Linked DNA regions of Anolis sagrei. The protein of the gene in region 2 interacts with the protein of the main gene of each other region in a pairwise test. Links are inferred from orthologs where the notes say so. Each region holds a gene or a part of one and is shown on either strand. Other genes may lie near its edges.

What was found.
Region 1: the proteins of GPS2 (region 2) and SESTD1 interact in binary tests that used the Homo sapiens proteins (3 or more experiments, as listed by UniProt). The two-hybrid records come from large-scale screens. The link is inferred for Anolis sagrei from reciprocal best matches to the Homo sapiens genes GPS2 and SESTD1.

Annotation. Positions count from the first base shown.
Region 1 is NC_090021.1:189,121,987-189,129,849, forward strand, and holds the start of SESTD1 (SEC14 domain and spectrin repeat-containing protein 1), read left to right. Parts: upstream 1-4,773; 5' UTR 4,774-5,073; intron 5,074-7,863. UniProt on the Homo sapiens protein: May act as the primary docking protein directing membrane turnover and assembly of the transient receptor potential channels TRPC4 and TRPC5.
Region 2 is NC_090026.1:4,565,668-4,573,381, forward strand, and holds the start of GPS2 (G protein pathway suppressor 2), read left to right. Parts: upstream 1-4,710; 5' UTR 4,711-4,806; coding exon 4,807-4,900; intron 4,901-6,740; coding exon 6,741-6,850; intron 6,851-7,714. UniProt on the Homo sapiens protein: Key regulator of inflammation, lipid metabolism and mitochondrion homeostasis that acts by inhibiting the activity of the ubiquitin-conjugating enzyme UBE2N/Ubc13, thereby inhibiting 'Lys-63'-linked ubiquitination.

The DNA.
Region 1 (7,863 bases), on a different chromosome or scaffold from region 2:
AAGTTAAAGTAAATACCAAAATTATGATGACTGATGACTTTTCAGTGTAAGTATTGAAGTGGCTGAGAGAATACGCTGAAAATCAAGATAGGGTTGATGGCGTAAAACAGTTTTCTCGGCCTGGGTCCTAAATTTTCATTCTCAAGGGTCTTTCTGATGGGTGTTGTCCAACAACTTTGGAGGGTAGTTCATCATCATCATCGTGTCCAAGTAGGATAGCCTTCCAAACAGGGTCTTGGCTGTGGGTCCGTAGGTGAGTGTGGAGACCTATTCTTGGCCCACATATTCTTCCACATTGAGAACATCAGTTTTGAGGGGGAAGGCAGTCCTGGTCAGGGTTGGCTTGACATGCCTTCCTCTTGATGCGTTTCATCCTTTCACTCTCCATTCGTGCCTCTTCGAATTCGACAGTACTATTGGTAACAGCTGACCTTCAGTTAGAATGCTCAAGGGCCAGGGCTTCCCAATTCTTGGTGTCTATGCCACAGTTTTTAAGGCTTTAAGCCCATCTTTAAATCTCTTTTCCTGTCCACCAACTTTCCATTTTCCATTCTTCAGTTGGGAGTAGAGTAACTGCTTTGGGAGATGGTGGGCGGTCATTCGGATAATATGACCAGTCCAACGGAGTTGATGGCAAAGTATCATTGCTTCAGTGCCGGTGGTATTTGCTTCTTTCAGCATGCTGACATTTTCTGCTTGTCTTCCTAAGAAATTTGACGGATTTTTCAGAGGCAATGCTTATGGAATCGTTCCAGGAGTTGAGCGTGACGTCTGTAAATGGTCCACATTTCGCAGCTAAATAACAGGGTTGGGAGGACAATGGCTTTATAAACAAGCACCATGGTCTTGAGGGGTAGTTAGGGATGACTAACAAAGAACTTTCATAACCACTTCAACTTCTTGGGAGCAAGAATGTGTGTGGATCTGGGTCTCAATGGAAAGGGAAAGTTGTCTTTTCAGCTGAGACTGACACATCGCACCAAAGAATAGTTATCGAGTAGACGGAGGCAAGTGTGCATAGGACTGCAGCTTTAGAGGACATTTTGCTCTTGGCATTTTTGATACAGAAATGCTGAAGTATCTGGTGTATTTCCACTGCAGCTGTTACTGTCCTTCTCTATTTGTTTGAAGGTCGAAAGAAACAAAAATGACAGGGACAACCTATGGGGACATCTTAGCTGTTGTTAGCTGCTGTCAGCTTAACTTATGGCAACCCCATCCTCAACAGTCCTGCTTAAGTCTTGCAGACTCAGGACACCAGTGGAATCCTAGTCTTTCCATTTTGAATATGGTATTCCCCCTTTCCTACTGCCTTACCTTACCAAGCATTACAGGTTGAGCATCCTTTGTCTGGAATTTCAAAATCCAAAATACTCCAAAATCTAAAATGGTCCACTGGTATGTTGATGGTTCAACATACACAAACTGTGCTTCATGCATAAAGTTATTATGAATATTGTATATAAAAATTTTATGTATATAACCACCTCATCAGAGGGAGTGATTTTAGCGTCCTAGTCCACCCTGTCTGGAGGACTGATGGGCTCGTTGCCCATCAGAGGCACAAGGGAGCTTCCTGTGGAAGCCCCTCCTCCAACTGGAGGGAAAGCATCACCAGATGCTTCCCTCTTAATATGGGATGCTTCACCAGGACTTTATGATGTCATATGATACTTAAGAAAAATAATTTCATGATTAGACAAGGTATCACATCATATACATACAGATATTCCAAAATATGAAACATTTCTAAGCCAGAGAATTTTTGGATAAGGGAGAGTATTGTTTTTTCTAGTGAGTCATGTCTTCTCATGATATGGCCAAACTATGATGGTCTTAATATAGTCATTTTGGGGAGATTTGCTTTAGGGGCCATTTTTCTTCTTAGTAGTCCACAACATCTGTAGAACTCTTCTCTATTGCCCTGTGGCCAATTGATTGCTTTCCTTCCTATCAGCTTTCTTTACTCTCCGGCATTCACAACTACAGGCAGTCCCTAAGTTACGAACACGACAGGTTCTGTAGGTTTGTTCTTAAGTTCAGCAGCTCAGCGGTTTAAGCTGCTGCACCACTGGGGGCTATATATATATATATATATATATATATATATATATATATAAACATTTCTTGGAGCTCCATGATAAACGTTTCTTGCAAGTTTGAGAACTCCTGCATGTTTACAATTTTCTGTAGGGTTGCATCCACAGTGTTGCCTGTGGCTGAAGGTTGGGCACGCCTGCTGTAGAATGGATGCAGCTTGAGACAACCTGGGCTCCATGCTCTGGCATCCTGGGAGGTGCCGTTTCACCTTCTCTGCCAGAGAGCTTGTGTGCCTCGCCCAAACTACAACCCCCAGGATTCCCTAGCAGTTTTAGGGATGTCGAGCTGCATCCATTCTCCAGTGTAGAAGAACAAGGTGGGTGCCTTGGATGGCTGGCTGCCTTGGGGACTTCCACACAGCCCTATATCCCTGAATATCAAGGCAGAAAACCCCATATTATCTCAGTGTGGATTCAGAGAACTCAGGGCCCTACATCTCAAAGCCAAAAAGGGTGAGGCTCCTTCCACAGAGCTGAATAAAATCCCACATTTTCTGCTTTGAACTGGAATGTATGGCAGTGTAGACTCAGATAACCCAGTTCAGAGCAGATATTGTATGGTTTTCTGCGTTGATAGGTAAAGGTAAAGGTTTTCTCCTGACATTAAGTCCAGTCGTGTCTAACTCTGGGGTAGGTGCTCATCTCCATTTCTCAGCTGAAGAGCAGGCGTTATCCGTATACACCTCCAAGGCCATGTGTCTGGCATGACTGCATGGAGCACCGTTACCTTCTAGTAACCTATTGATCTACTATTGATCTACTCACATTTTCATGTTTTCAAGCTGCTAGGTTGGCAGAAGCTGGGGCTAACAGCGGGAGCTCACGCTGCTCTCCGGATTTGAACCTGCGACCTTTCGGTAGGCAAATTCAGCAGCCCAGCGGTTTAACCCACCATGCCACTGGGGGCTCCCTTGATATTCTGGTTTACATGGCTATGTGAAAGGGCCCCAGTTCAAAGAAGATATTGTGGGATTTTCTGCCTTGATATTCTGGGATATAACGCTGTGTGGAAGGGCCCTTCTTCCACACAGGGAGCCCTTGTGGCGCACCCGGTGGCACAATGGGTTAAACCCTTGTGCCGGCAGGGCTGAAGGTGATAGTATGATAGCTGGGACCGGAAGCTCCGAGCATTATGCACATTCTGAAATGGCAGTTGTGAATAAGGAAATAAGAGCAGCACACTGAGGGCAGGAACGTAATTTGTAGTTGCATTTGGTGGAAAGATAGACAGGAAGGGAGGGTTAGGATAAGGTTTAGGTTGAGGATTAGGGGTTAGGGTAAGGTTTAGGGATAGGGTTAGGGTATGGGTTTAGATTTTACTATTACAGAACTCTTACATTACTTCAATAATATCTGTTAATAATAATGTGACTGGCCTGTCTTACAGTACCTCAGTGCATTCCGTTTTGTGTTGCGCAAACAGCACTCCCAAAGGAGCAAAGCGGTAACAGCATAACGCTTGGAGCTTCCGGACCCAGCAATCATACTATTACCTAACATGACCAAAACCGGGCTGAAGACTGACAGGTCGCAGGTTCGAATCAGGGGCGAGTGCGGATGAGCTCTCTCTGTCAGCTCCAGCTTCCCATATAGGGACATGAGAGAAACCTCCCACAAGGATGGTAAAATATCAAAACATCTGGGCGTCCCCTGGGCAATGTCCTTGCAGGCGGCCAATTTTCTCACACCAGAAGCAACTCGCAGTTTCTCAAGTCGCTCCTGACACTGGAGAGAGAAAAAAAAGGGGGGGGGGAGCCCTTCCACACAGCCCTATATCCTAGAATATCAAGGCTGAAAATCCCACAATATCTGAATGTGGATTTAGGTAACTCAGGGCCCTTCTACCCTCTATCCCAGAACAGGGGTCCTCAAACTAAGGCCCGCGGGCCAGATTCGGCCCTCTAAGGTCATTTACCCGGCAATCGCTCAGGGTCTGAAATGATTTGAAAGCACACAACAGCAACAACAATCCTATCTCATCAGCCAAAATCAGGCCCATAGTTCCCATTGAAATGCTAACAAGTTTATATTTGTTAAAAAAAATTCTTCATTGTAATTATTGTATTGTTTTAAAGTGGGTTTTTTTTTTTACTACAAGTAAGATATATGCATAGGAATTCTTTCATTTTTTCCAAATTATAACCTGGCCCTCCAACAGTTTGAGGCACTGTGACCTGGCCCTTTGTTCAAATAGTTTGAGGACCCCTGTCCCAGCATATCAGAAAATCTCACAATATCTGAGTGTGGATTCAGATAACTCAGTGCCCTTCCACACAGCCCTAGATCCCAGAATATCAAGGCAAAAAATCCCACATTATCTGCTTTGAACTGGGTTGCCTGAGTCCACACTCAGATATTATGGGATTTTCTGCCTTGATATTCTGAGATAGAGGGCTGTGTGGAAGGGCCCAGAGTTATCTGAATCCACACTCAGATATGGTGAGATTTTCTGCCTTGATATTCTGGGATAGAGGGCTGTGTGGAAGGGCCCTTGTTGTCTTTCAGGGTGGTGCTTGGGGCCAGCAGATGCGGCTCCCCAAAGGAGGCGAGAAGGAGGGAAGGGCGCGCGAGCAGCTCCAAAGTGGCAGCGCGCGCCCTTGGGAGTGAGGCGCGCGCCCGCCGGCTTGCCTCCCTTGGCCCATGCTGAGCCCGTGATTGGGCGGTCCGGGCCACGGGAAGCCCCGCCCCTTTCGCCCAGACCGGACCAGCGGGGACTTGGCGAGGCAGGCGCAGCAGAAGCAGCGGCGCTTTTGTCCAGAGGCCGCGAGGGGCGAAAAGAAGAAGAAGGAGGGAGAGAAAAAGGCAGGAAGGAGAGGAACGAGGCGGCGGCGCCTCCCTCCCTCTTTCTTTCTTTCTTTCCTTCCCTCCTTCCTCTGTGTCCCGCCTTCCTTCCCCGTTGCTCCATTGCTGCCACAAGGCTCTGGGCCGGACCCAGCTCGCCCTCCTTCCCTGTCGCCGGCCTTGGGGCCTCCAGGTGAGTCTCTCCCCCTTCTCTCTCTCTCTCAGGATGAAGGAGAAGCCGCAGAAGAAGGCCCAGCCTCGAGGCCTGGGAGGGAGGGAGGCAGGCAGGCAGGGAGGGCTTTTGTTTCCCCCTCCTCCTCCTCCTTGCAGAGGGATTGCTGCACCCCGGGGAGAGTGGGGAGGAGGAGGAGGAGGAGGACTGCAGGAAGCCCACCTTTCTCAGCCATTTTTATGAGAAGGACATGCTTGCCCTTGACTCATTCTCCTGCTCCTTCTGCCACCCCTCTCTTGGTACAAACCGCAGCAACAGGTTGCTGGCAACTTGTGGTTTTTTCTGTTCTTTTGGGGGGTGTTTATTTATAAATGCATGATGGTATTGTATTAAACAGGGACGAGTAAACGCCCCCTTGCTTCTTTGATGCTGCTGCTTCCTTCTGCTCCAGGTTTCCCTCCTCCTTGTCCCTCCTCTTTTCCTTCCCTTTGTGCTGTCACTTCCCAGCTTTCACTGTAAAAGGGGTGATTTGAGTTAAAGGCCCCAATCTTTCTCCCCCACTTTTTTTTTTTGCAAAGGATTTTTTTTTCCTCATCTTGACTTTTTATTAAAAATTGCTTATTGCTGCTAAGGCTCTAAGGCCCCTTCCACACAGCTGAATAAAACCCCACATGTTCTGCTTTGAACTGGACTATATGGCAGTGTGGACACACGGCCCTTCCACACAGCCATAGAACCCAGAATATCAAGGCAGAAAAACCCACAAGATCTGCTTTGAACTGCGTTATCTGAATCCACCCTGTCATATATCCCAGTTCAAAACAGATAATGTAGGGTTTTATTTAGGTGTGTGGAAGGGGCCTAAGATAACACAGTTAAAACCTGATATTGTGGAATTTTCTGCCTTGATATTCTGGGTTCTATGGCTGTGTGGAAGGGCCCTACATCTCAAAGCCAAAAAGGGTTAGGCCCTTTCCGCACAGCTGAAGAAAATCCCACCATATTTCCTTTGTACTGGGATATATGGCAGTGTGGACTCAGATATCCCAGTTCAAAGCAGATATTGTGGGATTTTCTGCCTTAATATTCTGGGTTGAAAGGACCCTCAGTCATTCCTTGACAATTTCAAGGAAAATTGGGGAAAAAAGAAAAAGTTGTTTTTCCCGGCAGAGAAGATCCTATCCATGACTAGAGATGCTTTTTTTGAATGAATCCTTCCTTCAGGCTTGTTACTGCTTGTAAAAATATAACCTGGGGCTACTATTCTTGTGACTTAAGGTGTAGTCAAGGCTACACCTTTCCACACAGCCATATAACCCAGGGCCCTTCTACACAGCCCTATATCCCAGAATATCAAGGCAGAAAATCCCACAAAATCCAAGTGTGGACTTAGATAACCTAGTTCTAAGCAGACATTGTGGGATTTTCTGCCTTGATATTCTGGGATATAGAGTGTGTGGAAGGGCCCTTCCTGATAGGCCCTGTATCGCAGGATCTGATCCCAAGTTTTCTGTTTATCCCAAGTTATCTCTCAGTGTAGACTCATATAGGACCCTTCCACACAGCCCTCTCCTTTATTCCCCTTTTAATTTGGAATTACTTCCAAATCAGGTGAAATTTGTGTCACCCTTGTTAATTACTATTGTCCTGCCTCTATTCTGACAAGGCAATCCAATTGATCCTTACAGTCATTTCCTGAAGCAGAATAAAAATGGTGGCTCTGCAGATATTATTTCAGATCATCTCTAGGGAAGCCAGTCAGCATAGATTTCCTTTTCCTCTTCTATGCCCTGTAATGCTTGTTAAGGTGAAACCAGGATTATATGCTTTCCCAAGGATAGCTGTCCTGTTTATCCATTAAGCAGCCTGGCCAAGTTTTAATTTTACAGTGACCTAGAGTTTCTATTTTGCCTTCTTTGAAACCGATTCATGGTAAGAGGAAAGAAAGGAGGCTGTAAGCAGGAACAGAACAAATGTCAAAGGCCTCATTCTAATGGCGTATTGGATGTCATTCTTGTCTCCTCCTTTCCTTCACCATCACTGCATTTGCAATGCATACACATGAGTATTGATTGTGGATATTTGAAACAAAGAAAACATATGTTGCTGTTCCTTTCTGCCTGTGGAGCTAGGCCCCAATATCTAATTACAAACAAGATAGGTTCTGTAGGTTTGTTCTTAAGTTGAATTTGTATGTAAGTCAGAACAGGTACATTTTAAAGTGTAACTCCAGTGCGCACGCTCTCTCTCTCTCTATGTGTGTGTGTGTGTGTCTATATATATATATGTGAGAGGGTGGGTCAAAAAGTTTTGCTTCCTGTATCATAAAAACGTTATGAATGAACCTATAACAGCAGAAGTCGCTACAGATCATAGCCTGAACTGTCCTCTACACAACACTACTGTTCAACATAGGTGCCACCATCAATTTGTACACATTTGTACCACCGTTTAACCAAGGCATCAAAACCATTTTGGAAAAATTCAGGATTTTGCTTCATGACCCATGATTTTATATCTGTTTTTTAACATTGTTCAAGTCATTGAATCTGAAACCACGTGGGTTGTCTTTCAGAGATCCAAACAGGTAAAAGAAGGGGGCAAATCATCAACATTCTTCAAGCGATGCTGGATTTTCTTAGGTGCACAACTTTCTTTTGCCAGATATTCAATGACAACTCTTTCTTTCAGCTTCAGATTAATGGTTCTAATCAGTTAATCCGAAAAAGAAAAGAGTATTATCAGGAGAATAAGGTTACTACCTCTATCATATCATGCATAGATAGTCCAGTAACTCTGTAAGAAATAAAC
Region 2 (7,714 bases):
CACCTGAGGCAAAGGGGAATAACGATCTTCCTGTACCTGGACGATTGGCTGATAACTTCGGAATTGAGATCTCAGCTTCAATCAGACCTCACCTACACTCTGTCTCTCTTACAGAGCCTCGGCCTCATCGTCAATTTCGAAAAATCCAACTTGACTCCTTCAAGATGCATCCAATTCATCGGTGCTATCATAGACTCCATCGCAGAAAAGGCCTTCCTACCAGAGGACTGCTTCCAGGCCATCAAATTGGCGATAAACGACATCCGCGCACAAGGGGGAGCCACTGCATGGGCCTTCCAATCCCTGCTCGGGCACATGGCCTCGACAACGTCGGTCATCAGGTTCGCGAGGCTACGGATGTGCCCGCTGCAGCATTGGTTCGTCAGAGCGTTCAAGCCCCAACGCGACAGCCAGAACATCCGTCTGTACCCCCCACACCAGGTCCTGGAGTCCCTCAGGTGGTGGACAACGGAGGAGCACGTCCTTGCAGGCATGGCTTTCAGACAACCGCGCCCATCCCGCTGCCTCACAACGGATGCGTCCACGCAAGGATGGGGGGCTCACTTCCAGAATCTGACAGTGCACGACAGATGGTCTCACGAGGAGGCTGCCTACCACATAAATTACCTCGAGCTCCTAGCCGTCCAGAAGGCCCTGCGTGCTTTCGAGCCCCATATCACCGGGCGCGCTGTACAACTTCTCACGGACAATACAACTGTAAAATGTTACATAAACAAGCAAGGCGGGATGCGCTCCTCCGACCTCCTCGGCTTATCCACAGCAATATGGGAATGGTGCATCCCACGAAGGATACATCTCACGGCAGTGCACCTCCCGGGCGAAGACAATACTCTCGCCGATGCCCTCAGTCGAGCACAGACATCAAATCACGAGTGGCAACTCCATCGAGACGAGTTCCGGTTCCTGTCCCGCCATTGGGGCCAACCAACCCTGGATCTGTTTGCGTCGCCAGTGAACGCACAGTGCGACACGTTTTGTGCCAGACGTCACCCCGGATCGACCCAAGGGTGCATGGGGGACGCATTCATATTCAGCTGGTCACCGGGCCTACTATACGCCTTCCCCCCAATCCCGCTGATTCCCAGGGTGCTGACCAAATTGATCGAGGACAACGCGGATGCGATACTGGTCGCCCCCTGGTGGCCGCGCCAGCACTGGTTCGCTCCCCTCCTCAAAGCTTCGAGAGGCGAATACCTCCATCTACGAGACAGACCGGACCTCCTCTCCATCCAGGAGGGCCGGGTGTATCACCCAGACCTGGTCTCCCTGCGCCTCACAGCGTGGAGAATCCGGGTCCAGCCCCTCTCTCGGAGGCAGTGCAGGACATAATCGCAGCGGCCCAAAAAGCCACGACCAAGAAAGCATATGCATACAAATGGTCACGCTTCCGGGAATACCTCAAGCCTCTGAATGTTAACCCCCGGGAAGCCCCGATGGGGGTCATACTGGACTTTCTAGTGCATCTGTCCAACAAAGGGCTCTCCTTGTCTTCCATCAAATGCTACCTGGCGTCACTATCATGGTACTGGAGACAGACAGGGAGACCATCGTGCTTCCATGACCCCACGATACGGCTCTTCCTTAAGGGGTACTCCAACTTACACCCACCTGTCATGCCTCCTCCCCCAGCGTGGAGTCTAGAACTGGTGCTGTCACAGCTCTCCAAACCACCCTTTGAGCCACTGGCCACATGCGACCTGTCGCATCTCTCATGGAAGACGGCCTTTCTCGTGGCCATTATATCGGCCAGGAGAGTGAGTGAAATCTGTGCTTTGAGAGTTGACGCACCCTACCTACGATTCCACAAAGAGAAGGTGGTCCTCCGACCAGACGTCGCCTTCTTACCAAAGGTTGTTTCTAAGTTTCACCTGTCACAGGACATTTCTCTATTGGCCTTCTTCCAGAATCCTTCTTCTCCTCTGGAGGTTTCCCTGCATTCTCTAGATGTCAGACGGGCTCTAGCGTTCTACACTAGCAGAACCGCCCCCCACAGGAAGTCAGTCAAGCTTTTTCTGAAATACCGCCAGGACTCTCTAGGGCTACCTGTCTCCTCCCAGCGCCTCGCTTCGTGGATCGTCTCGACCATCAGACTTGCTTACCTGCTGGCAAAGAAAGAGCCCCCTCAGCAGATCCACGCCCACTCCACTAGGGCGGTGTCAACCTCGCAAGCTTTCCTGAGGGGTATTCCAATTGACGACATCTGCAAAGCAGCGACATGGTCCAATTCGTCAACATTCGCCTCCCACTACAGGCTAGATGCGATGGCAAGGAAGGATGCAGCCTTCGGCAGAGCGGTGCTGTTTTCCAGTGTCGCATGACTCCCACCTCCGAAGGTTGGTAGCTTGCTATTCACCCATTATGTGCGTTTTTCACAGACTACACGAAGGGGAAATGCGAGTTGCTTACCTGTAACTGCGTTTCCCGAGTGATAGTCTGTGAAATTCGCACATCCCCGCCCGACCTCTCCGCAGTAGTCATGCTTGTTCTATAGCTGCTGATAGCGGCTGCGGAACTGAGTCGAGGTTTCCCGCCTTGGGCATTTATAGTATGGGGAGTTTGGGCGGGGCGTCCGCCAATTAAAAGTTTCTATTTGAAAATTCTAGAAGGTTCCGAACGGCTGCGCATGCGCAGAACAAAACCCATTATGTGCGAATTTCACAGACTATCACACGTGGAAACGCAGTTACACGTAAGCAACTCGCATTTTTTTGATGTTGAGCTGCAACCCGGCTTTTGCGCTTTCTTCTTCCACCTTGATTAGAAGGCTCCTCAGCTCCTCCTCGCTTTCGGCCATCAGAGTGGTGTCATCTGCATATCTGAGGTTGTTAATGTTTCTTCCAGCCATTTTCACCCCAGCTTTGCATTCCTCAAGCCCCGCACATCCTCGCATGATGTGTTCTGCATACAAGTTAAAAAGGTTGGGTGAGAGGATGCAACCTTGCCGTACGCCTTTCCCAATCTGGAACCCGTCTCCTGTTCCGTGGTCAGTTCTGACTGTGGCTACTTGGTCCTTGTCCAGATTCCTCAGGAGAGAGACAAGGGGGCTTGGGATGCCCATCCCACCAAGAACTTGCCACCATTTATTATGATCCACACAGTCAAAGGCTTTAGAGTAGTCAATGAAGCAGAAATAGATGTTTTTCTGAAACTCCCTGCCTTTCTCCATTCTCCAGCGGATATTGGCAATCTGGTCTCTCGTTCCTCTTCCTTTTCTAAACCCAGCTTGAACATCTGGCAACTCTCGCTCCATGTATTGCTGGAGTCTTCCTTGCAGGATCTTGAGCATTCCCTTCCTGGCATGAGAAACAAGAGCTACTGTACGGAAGTTGGCGCAGTCTTTCGCATTTCCCTTTTTTGGTATATATATTAATATTATATTGTTACATATTATTCATACTATATTGTTATTCATATATAATATACTACATATCATTCCATATATTATTTATATATTATTTATTAATATGCATATATATATAATATTCCATATATTATTATTTATATACTATTTATTCATATGTGTATATATTTATATAATATATATTTTCCATATATTATTATTTATATATTCAAACGCATATATATAATATATTCCATATGTTATTAGTTATATATTATTTAGAGGAGAGGAGATTCCATCTGAACATGAGGAAGAACTTCCTGTCTGTGAGAGCTGTTCAGCAGTGGAACTCTCTGCCCTGGAGTGTGGTGGAGGCTCCTTCTTTGGAAGCTTTTAAACAGGGGCTGGATGGCCATCTGTCAGGGGTGATTTGAATGCAATATTCCTGGGGCTGGATGGCCATCTGTCAGGGGTGATTTGAATGCAATATTCCTGGGGCTGGATGGCCATCTGTCAGGGGTGATTTGAATGCAATATTCCTGGGGTTGGGTGGCCATCTGTCAGGGGTGATTTGAATGCAATATTCCTGGGGTTGGATGGCCATCTGTCAGGGGTGATTTGAATGCAATATTCCTGGGGCTGGACGGCCATCTGTCAGGGGTGATTTGAATGCAATATTCCTGGGGCTGGATGGCCATCTGTCAGGGGTGATTTGAATGCAATATTCCTGGGGTTGGATGGCCATCTGTCAGGGGTGATTTGAATGCAATATTCCTGGGGCTGGATGGCCATCTGTCAGGGGTGATTTGAATGCAATATTCCTGGGGTTGGATGGCCATTTGTCAGGGGTGATTTGAATGCAATATTCCTGGGGCTGGATGGCCATCTGTCAGGGGTGATTTGAATGCAATATTCCTGGGGCTGGATGGCCATCTGTCAGGGGTGATTTGAATGCAATATTCCTGGGGCTGGATGGCCATCTGTCAGGGGTGATTTGAATGCAATATTCCTGCTTGGCAGAATGGGGTTGGACTGGATGGCCCAGGAGGTCTCTTCCAACTCTTTGATTCTGTGATTCTATGATTTGTGTGTGTGTATATGTGTGTGTGTGTGTGTGTGTATAAACATATGAATAAACATATTGGAATGACAATATGAGCTCGTTTGAGCCACAACAATAGCAGCTTCTCCCAGAAACCCACTCTTCTAAGACTTCAAGTCCCCGGATGCAGCTGCTGTGTCTGAGTTGGCAGGGGACGAAATGGAACGGAAGTCCTTTGCTCCGTGTTGCGGGAGGGGCGGCTGTCAGCGTGGCACCGCGGGCCGGAACCGGAAGTAGCCGTAGTAATAGCGGAAGCGGGCGGGTCTGAGGAGAAGGAGGAGAGCGCTTTTCTTTCTTTTTTTCCTCGTTGGGCCTTCGGGTCTTCTCTTCCCCGGCCTTCGCCATGCCGGCGCTGCTGGAGCGGCCGAAGCTGAGCTCGGCCATGGCGCGGGCCTTGCACCGGCACGTGATGGTGGAGCGGGAGAGGAAGCGGCAGGGTGAGACCCGGGGAGAGGGGCAGCTAGGCTAGATACACTCCTTCATGGCGCTAGAGGGGACATCCCAGGGACATCCAGGCCAACCCTCAGATAGATAGATAGATAGATAGATTCATGGCATTGGAAGGGACACTTAAAGGCCATCCAGTCCAACCCACAGATAGATAGAGAGAGAAATAGATAGATAGATAGATAGATAGATAGATAGATAGATAGATAGATAGATAGATAGATAGATAGATAGATAGATAGAATTATGGAGTTAGAAGGGACACCCAAAGGCCATCTAGTCCAACCCACAGATAGATAGATAGATAGATAGATAGATAGATAGATAGATAGAGATGCACTTAGAAGGGACACCCAGAGGCCACCCAACCCCAATAGATAGATGATAGATACATTGATTCATCTCTTCATGGCGTTAGAAGGGATATCCAAGGGACATCCAGTCCAACCCCCAGATAGATAGATAGATAGATAGATAGATAGATAGATTCATGAAGTTAGAAGGGACCCGAAAAGCCATCCAGTTCAATCCATAGATAGATAGATAGATAGATAGATAGATAGATAGATAGATAGATAGATAGATTGAATCATGGTGTTAGACGGGACACCCAAAAGACATCCAGTCCTACTCTCAGATAGATAGAGAGCTAGAAAAATAAATCCATGATATTGGAAGGGACACCCAAAGGCCATCCAGTCCAACCCACAGACAGATAAATAGATAGAGAGATAGATGCACTTAGAAGGGACACCCAGAGGCCACCCAACCCCAATAGATAGATGATAGATACATTGATTCATCGCTTCATGGCGTTAGAAGGGATATCCAAGGGACATTGGAGTCCAACGTTCAGATAGATAGATAGATAGATTCATGAAGTTAGAAGGGACCCGAAAAGCCATCCAGTTCAATCCATAGATAGACAGATGGATAGATAGAATCATGGTGTTAGAAGGGACACCCAAAAGACATTCAGTCCAACTCTCAGATAGATAGATAGAAAAATAAATTCATGGCATTGGAAGGGAGACTTAAAGGCCATCCAGTCTAACCCACAGATAGATAGATAGATAGATAGATAGAATTATGGTGTTAGAAGGGACACCCAAAGGCTATCCAGTTCAATCCTCAGATAGATGCATAGATAGATAGATGCATAGAAAGAAAGAAAGAATGAAAGAAAGAGTGAATGAATGAATGAATGAATGAATCATACACTTACAAGGGACACTCAGAGGCCACCCAACCCCAATAGATGATAGATACATCGATTCATTGCTTAATGGCGTTAGAAGGGATATCCAAGGGACATCTTGCCCAACTTTCAGATAGATACATAAATAGGTAGAAAGGCATTGGAAGGGACACTTAAAGGCCATCCAATCCAACCCACAGATAGATAGGTAGATAGATAGGTAGGTAGATAGATAGATAGAATTATGGTGTTATAAGGGACACCCAAAGGCCATCCAGTCCAACCCTCAGTAAAAAAAAAAAGGTTGGGAACCACTGATGTAAGAGTTTAAGTACTGGACTAGAACTCTGGAAGACCAGGGATCAAATGAACCCTCGCTCGGCCATAAAAAGCCCCTGAGTGGCCTTGGGAAAGTGCCTCTCTAAGCCTTAAAGGAAGGCAACAGGAAAACCCTTCAGGATAAATCTTGCAAATAAGACCCTCAGAATCACCTTGAGGCACACAGCAACCACCTTCCTCTGAGTTGAGGTTGACCCTTCCGACTAGCACCAAATTAAAGTTTTGCACTCGACATTGTCCCTGTATTGTTCCAGGAAATCAATTATCTGTGGACCTCTCTTTCTGTCCTGCAGAGGAAGAAGAAGTAGACAAAATGATGGAGCAGAAGATGAAAGAGGAGCAGGAGAGGCGGAAGAAGAAAGAGATGGAGGAGCGCATGTCTCTGGAGGAGACCAAGGAGCAGGTCGGTGGTTGGGACCAGATTCCAATGCCGTGTGCCTTCGGAATCCACAGGGCGTTCATTCCAGGATTCCCCAAAGATGCTAAAGAATGTGCAGGCTCATGTCCCTTTTAAAATTGTGTATAGCAGCAGCACAAGTTGCAGCAAGCCTCACTAACAATCCTCTTCTCCCTTTTGAGTAAATCCTTTCAGTGGAGTTTTCCTATTTCCAACAGACCTCACTACCTCTGAGGATGCTTGCCATAGATGCAGGCAAAACGTCAGGAGAAAATGCCTCTAGAACATAGCCATATAGCCCGAAAAACCTACAACAACCCGGAGTTAAAACAGACATAATAATAATAATAATAATAATAATAATAATAATAGTAATAGTAGTAGTAGTAGTAGTAGTAGTAGTAGTAGAACTACAAAGACTCTGGCACAAACCAGTAAATGTGGTCCCAGTGGTGATGGGCACACTGGGTGCAGTGCCTAAGGACCTTGGCCTGCACTTAAACACAATCAGCGCCGACAAAATTACGACCTGCCAGCAGCAAAAGGCCACCTTACTGGGATCTGCATGAATTATTGGCCGATACAGGACAGAGTCCTAGACACTTGGGAAGTGTCCGATGTGATCCAATACAACAGCCAGCAGAGTGATCTTGTCTGCTGTGGACTCATCTTGTTGTGTTTCTAATAATAATAATTCTTGCCCGCCACTCCCCACAGCTTGGGGAGGTCACAGCACAGTTAAAAACACACAAATCTATATATATAAATCTGTTAGGTTGGTTCAACGGGACAGCAAAACTCTAAAAACCCCCAACAAAACTTAACCAAAATTCCCATGCCCATAACACAACCCACAAGGTACAAACATAT